2 linked regions of the Saccharomyces cerevisiae S288C genome follow. The gene in region 2 interacts genetically with the main gene of each other region. Each region holds a gene or a part of one and is shown on either strand. Other genes may lie near its edges.

The links. A genetic interaction does not mean that the proteins touch.
Region 1: mutations in NSG2 (region 2) and MUP1 together harm fitness more than expected from each alone (negative genetic interaction), as found in Saccharomyces cerevisiae (2 studies listed by BioGRID).

What each region holds. Positions count from the first base shown.
Region 1 is NC_001139.9:597,418-601,177, reverse strand, and holds MUP1 (Mup1p), read right to left. Parts: upstream 1,762-3,760; coding exon 37-1,761; downstream 1-36. Other genes in the region: YGR054W (translation initiation factor 2A), read right to left, coding at 2,557-3,760. UniProt on the Saccharomyces cerevisiae protein: High affinity permease for methionine.
Region 2 is NC_001146.8:340,409-343,508, reverse strand, and holds NSG2 (Nsg2p), read left to right. Parts: upstream 1-1,540; coding exon 1,541-2,440; downstream 2,441-3,100. Other genes in the region: CUZ1 (Cuz1p), read right to left, coding at 169-993; YNL155C-A (uncharacterized protein), read left to right, coding at 1,374-1,598; IGO1 (phosphatase regulator), read right to left, coding at 2,651-3,100. UniProt on the Saccharomyces cerevisiae protein: Stabilizes the HMG-CoA reductase HMG2 by preventing its HRD1-dependent degradation. Binds directly to the sterol-sensing domain (SSD)-containing transmembrane region of HMG2, promoting its folding to protect it from degradation.

The DNA of each region.
Region 1 (3,760 bases), on a different chromosome or scaffold from region 2:
ATAAGAATCGAGATGAGATGGTAAGTACCTTTTTGGTTACAGCGATTTTTCTTGTTCACTTTTGTAATGTTCGATTATATTCGTTTCAATAACGCCGTCTTCTTGTGTATCGACATCGCCAATAGTGTCATCATAAACTTTGGCAATTTTGACTCTCCAGAACCCATCTTCACCAAGCACATCCTTGGAAACCAATTTGTAGTGGCCCCATCTTGGCAATAATTGGGCCCAAACAACGTAGTAAACACCACCAAAGAAGAAAATACCCCAAGCAATTACACAGTGGATCCAGTATGGCATGCTTGAATACACCGACTCGCCATTTGAAGGTGGAACGTAAGGAGCAATAATCAGGTATAAATTGGATAATGTGAAAAATCCCGTAACAAAAACACCGGCCTTAATTGGTGGGTTCCATTCAATTTTACCTTGTCTACGTTGCCAGTATATCCAAAGCAAACCCGCGCTAATGGCAAAATTAATAATATTCATTGGGTAGGAAATTAAATTTTGGACTAGCAAATATGCATCACCTGGAGGTGGGGCTAAAATGGTTACTGTACAAACAATAAAATGTTGAAACAAACCAACCATTGGGGAGTTGAATGGCTTAGAAGAGGCAAAGAAATTAGAAAAGGGCAACACACCTTCACGTCCTAGTTGTTGAATAATTCTACCCTGAGAAAAAATGACAGAAAGAACATTTCCTAAGGCACTCAACCCGACCAGTGCGGCTGCTGCTCTCTTGGCTTGGCCGCCAAACACAATATCGAAGAAGTCAGCAGCTAAAATCAATTTTGAAGAAATTAACTTATCTTTTGGAACCACAGCGAAGTAAGCAATGTTCACAAAAATGTAGATTATAGCCAAGAAGACCATCGATGTAGGACCAGCAATCTTCAAAGTTCTCACAGGGTTCTTAACTTCACCAAGTGCATAGTTAACATTGGAGTAACCGACAAACGACCAAATAACACTATATAAGGCGTTAACAATACCATAAGCAGTGGCGGTTTCAGTACCTTCAAAAGCATTACGAAAGTTGTGAGATTGATAACCATCTTTGAGACCACCGCCAAGGGCAACCCAACCGGTAATAGAAATGAAGAGGACAATACCAATCTTGAAAATACCTAAAATGTTTTGCAAATATAGACCAATCTTGACATTCAGAGAATTAATTAGGAATGCAAAAAAAACGACGGCCACACCAATACCTCTTTGATTCCATTTGGTCACTTCAGTATCAGCAGCAGTTAAAAACATAATAGCTGTATTGATGGAATTACCAGCAGCCCAACCTAGGAAGAAAATATACGCAGCATACATACAGGTAATGAAGAATTTTGGTTTCCTGAAAATAGCCTCCAGGTAGTTTTTTTCACCACCATTTTTCGGTATAGCCGTACCGAATTCCATGTATACATATAACCCAGAAATGGCAATAATGGCGCCAACTGCCCACATAATTAATGCAAGCCCCACAGACCCACATAGTGTGTAAATGGTCGAGGAAACGGCGAAAACACCGGTACCAAGCATTCTATTACAGATAAGCCCAATACACGACAAAATACCTAACTGCTTTTCACCTTGGTCCAATTCTGTAGCAAATTGCTGGCCTGCCTCAAAATCGGAGGCACCGTTGTCAGCATCCACTGTCGAGTTACTTACTTCCTTTTTTGTAGTAGAAGAAGAAAATTGATAGTTCTCCTTGTTGAAGACATTCAACTGTGACAGAAACGTTCTTCCTTCCGACATTGCTCCGCCTTTGTTTTCTCTTCTCTTGTCTTTAAAGATTTCTACAGAATGTGAAACTAATCCAAAAACAAAATATGATGAACAGCGGAAAAGTTTGTGTGAGAATCATCCTTATATATATATACTGTATGTAATCTTACATCACCATATGAAAATAACGGGCTGACTCAAGAAATTCACCGCCAAGTAGGAGGAACCACATTTGTAATGCAAGACTGTGTTATGTGTTACCATGGTGTGCAATAACTGCGAAGGTAGCACCGCTTGAGTCAACTGTGGCAGTTTATTAGATGCCACTCGAGTGTGGTGAACGGCAATTCCACAGTCTAACTTTTCAGTTGGCGCCGTGCCATCTCCTGGCTGCTAGGCCGATCTGTTATACAAAACCCTACACGGCGCCGTTTCTTTTTTTTTTTTCTTTTTCTGTGGCAAAGCGGCGACAGCGACGCTAAAAAAAACTGTGGTGGCGGATGCAGCGCCGGCTTACGGAGCCGAAGTGACACTCCATATTCATTTATTGCCTGGCGGTATCGTGGCATACATTGTAAGATGCGGCTGGTGGCAATCCGCCAAGAAGAGACGTAAAAATAAGGAAAATGCTCACTAATTATGTATGTATCAATTACTATTTGATGTTAAAAAAATATGTGGAAAAGTACAATAAAACAAGGGAAAAAAAGAAAGGGGGGAGGTTGGCGTAATTCTCCTGGGAAACAGTAAAAAACAATTCAAAGTAGTATTATTTGACGTTGTTAATATTTACACAGTTGTATGGATACATCAGTTTCTTCTAGTTTATTCATCCTTCCAACCCAACTTTTCCAAATCTTTCAACACTTTTTCTTCAGTTTGAATTTTTAGAACTTGCGTATCTTCTAGTTTGTCACCGACGGCCTGTCTTTCCTTCAAGGTTTCAATAGCCCTTAATTTCTTTAGTAAAGATCTTATTTTCTTCTCCTCTGGAGAAGTTTCTTTATTGTTTGTGGGGGCATTTGTGGAGGCAGGAGCAGATGGGGCCGGAGTAGAATCAGGTGACGTTTCACTTGACTTTTTATTGGCTCTTCTTCTCCTGTTCTTGGTGTTGGCGTCCTTGTTGGCACTCATGCCCGGAACTAGCCCTGGGATGGTCTTCTTTGCTGCACCAGGAGGAACTCCGGGGACAATACGTCCACCGCCTGTTCTTCTTGCGTGAGGTGGTTTATAAGCGCCTCCAGCTTTGGCCTTAGATCCGTTTCCATTGGAGCTTGCTTCTCTGCTTGGGTGTTGACTTATGTACTCTTGAACGCTAGAATGTATTTGCAATTCTGATTTATTGGATATTTTAGGATCAAGTGAAGATGTGGTCGAATCAGGTAGCGGTTCCCAGTTATTAATGATATGGTTCTCGAAAAATGCTTCGTCTTTGTTTTCCAAAGTTTTGTAATTACATGGTGACCTCCAGTCTACCTTCAAAAGCTCCTTGAACTCTTTAACAAATACTAAAGAGCCTGATACATGCCATATTTTAACGCCGTTATCCACTCTCAATCTTGGTGAAGTGGTAGCTGTCATGATAAATTCTCCACCCGGTGACCATTTGCAGACAGAAGTGTTGGTAGCGTCAAATTTACTCACACACTTGAATTTGTCGAGACGATCTAGGATTTCCACGGAGCCCTGTAAATTACCAAACCCGGCGATAAGAATGTAATGACCAGAGGGAGAGAAAAGCATGGTATTTTTGGCTTGTTGAGGTAATGAATGGACAACATTACCTCTTAAGTCAAAAAAGGAAATGGTTGCTGGCATGTAACCAGCGATGACACCGAATTGCCTTGAAGTTGGCGACCAAGTGAAATCGTGGACAGGTCCAGTGGTTAAAGAAACACGTACAGAGTTACCACCCAAAGTCCCGTTGACACCTTGGAAAGACAGTAAGTATAGTGTGTTTTCACCATAATATGATTTGTTTGAGGAATCAAAATCAGTAATAGCTAAACATAAAATAGCATTACCTAAT
Region 2 (3,100 bases):
GGCGAAAATGTCTATTATTAAAAAAATATTAAGTACTTTACGTGCTTTTTAATATCGTTTTTTATTGATTATGTATCTTTAATGGGTTATTGATTTTTTTTGTTTTCTTTTTATATAGTATATACGCTTGACGTTCCGCGCGATTGTTTGTTATTTATAGTGTCCTTCTTAATTAGATTTTTCGTCGGCGTTATTGTGTACTAAATACAGAGTATCAAGATCTTTGATCTCATTAGTGACTCTTAAGGAAGCGCCAATATTATAAAATGAAACTTGTTTACCCTCTTTCAATTTGCATAGTTGAAATTTGTCATTAGAACTTGAATTAGTTAGTGTGCTAGATTTCACGTTTAGCTGGATAGACAAATAGTCCATGGCCCTACCCACAGGCCACATTTTGTTAATGTATAATGGCATTCTTGTATCCTCCTTGGCTATATCCGTCTCATCACCATCCACCAAGTAACACCAAATGTAAATCCTATTTTGCATAGGAATCTTGGGGTCACCTTTAGCAATTTTCTTGAGATTAGCCAATTGAATTATCTTATTCGACGAGGAACCGAAATTCTTTTTTGATTTGTTATTGCTCTTTCTTTTCTCATTCCTTTGGAAGAACTTAAATATTTTGTCTAATGTCTTTGAGTTCAAAGTAGAGCTCACTTTGGCAGTGTTAGAACCTCTCAAAGGCTCTCTTGTTTCACTTACTCTCTGGATTCTAACACTGGCCCTCTCAGGTAACAGACTCTTGAAATATGCTTCATCGTTAGAACTTGAGCCATCCCGGCTTTTGCTAGGACTTTTTTCAGTTTTATGAACTTCTTCATGCTCTAGCAACCACCTACAGTGGTGATCTTCCTTAAGTCTATGGTTCGAGCAGAAATCTTCATTGCAAAACGAACAATGGAAAGGTAGGAAGTCTAGTTGTCTACAATATGCACAGTGCTTTCCTACATCCAACATTCCGGTTTCTTTTTCGATAGCCGCCGACATTCTTAAATATAGCAAAAATTAGTTGATGGTCCTTTTTTTTATATCAAAATTAATGCAAGCTCTTGCAGTAGATGTACACTACAATGTGCCTATAGCTCACTGTTGTCACACTTCCGCCCTAGCTCGAGTCCTTGCTTGTACAAGCTCTTATTACATCTTTATACTCATTTGTAGAACATGCTTTTGCCACCGAAAGGAGGGTGAGGCAGTTTTATGTATATACGAACGTCGCTGGCCACGAGGGGGGAACTTTTCTTTTTATCGGCATGAGATAAAGGGTAGATACGAAATTAGCTAGACATTTAAAATATGAAAGCAAGGAAATTACTAAACTTCGAGATGTTCTTTTCCTTAAACTTCTAGTTGACAGCTCAACATTGATGATAGGGCTTATTGTAGTACCTATTTTATTTGCAATAAAGGGCATAGTAGTTGGCGTGCAAAAGGTAAAGAAAAAGTTTGGAAAGCACTCAAACACAAAGGACCAAAAAGAAGACAAGGACGAAGATAAACGACAAAGTATTTCTCAAAGAAAACAGCATACAGAATGGCCAATAGAGGAGAACCGGATCCAAAGAAGAGCACCGAATCAATCTGCTCTCTGACTAAACCGCAGCTTTATTCATTATATGATGATGACGTCGTGAGATCGGAAGATAACGAAATTTACGAAGAATTGAAACGCTCTGTCTCTATAGATTCTACCAAATATAGTAGAGATCAAACTATTGATTCGACTTTTTACTTGGCCCATAAGGTTGGCGGCTCGCTGCCAAGGAACACAGTATCTTCTAATAATTTGGAAAGGATTTTATCAGCATCATCCATTCACGAAAACTTTCCGTCAAGAACCAGACAAACTCGTCAAAATATTCTTCATTACCTGCAAGCTGTATTAATTTTGTCATTGAGCGGTTTCGCATATCATGAACTGTCCAGAAACTTGCACGATAATCATCTCTTACATCCAGATTTTGCATCGAGACCCCTTCTACTGGGTGTCAAACTTTGTAACTGGCTATCCAATGGGGTTCTGCCAAACTGGTTAGGCTACGGTGTTGAAGGACTGTTATTTGGTTCTGTTGTACCAATTCTGGATAATATTTTTCAAACAGAGGTTGTTAAGAGCTCTGTCCACCATGACAGTTTGACCTCTGTTATTAGAAGTATCAATGCCATGTTGGGAGTCACATTTGGGATCAGGAAAATACAGTGGAACTCCTCTTTGCAGGCGGCAGGGGCATGGGGGCTTCTGAATATTATACTGTGGTTGTTTTTTGACGGCTCAATATCCATGTTAATGAGCTGCATCTGCATTGGGGTGGGTTGTTGTATCTCTTGCTACAAAGATATTATCGACGGTTCCCAATTTTTATATTTCATGGATTTTTATTTCCTTGGTTCTCTAATGTTTGGAAAACTAGGAAGATATCTATATTCTCATTAAAGTCGAAATTCTGACGAGTAAATATTATTAATTAGAAGTACAAGAAGATAACATCAGAATGGCTTATCGTTTATATATAACTAATTAACGTAAACACAGTCAGCCATATGGCTGTAACACTTGACATTTCGAGAAATCACATAATAAGCGTTAAATATAAGAGACCCTTCTCTTTCCCTAAAAAAATATAAAAAAGTACAGGTTGTCTATTTATCTAATGGGTGATTCAGTATACAAACTGGACGACGAAGAGCTGTGGTTCCCCACTGGCGTTGAACTTGTACTACCACCTCCAATAGTACCGTTATTAGACGATGGTGGTCCACTCGATATACTTCCCTCCTTTTGTATCAACGTCGCATTATCTACTACACCAGCGGTTGAGGCAGTTGACGGACAAGTGCTTATCCTTCTTTTTATTATATCTTCTCGTAGTTTGCTGGGATTTGTTAATGGCAGGTTATTCTTTCCATAGTTTATTGGATCATTGTTTTGAATGCCAGCTTTCTGCAAAGCGTAATCACCACTGTCGAAATATTTTCTTTTCTGCATGGTATGCTTAAAAATATCTTTCTTTGATGGCAGCTTTCCGTACATTTTGTATAGCTTCATTTCGTTGGGCGAGAATTTGCTGGTATCAATAGTTCCGCTTTCGCCGTT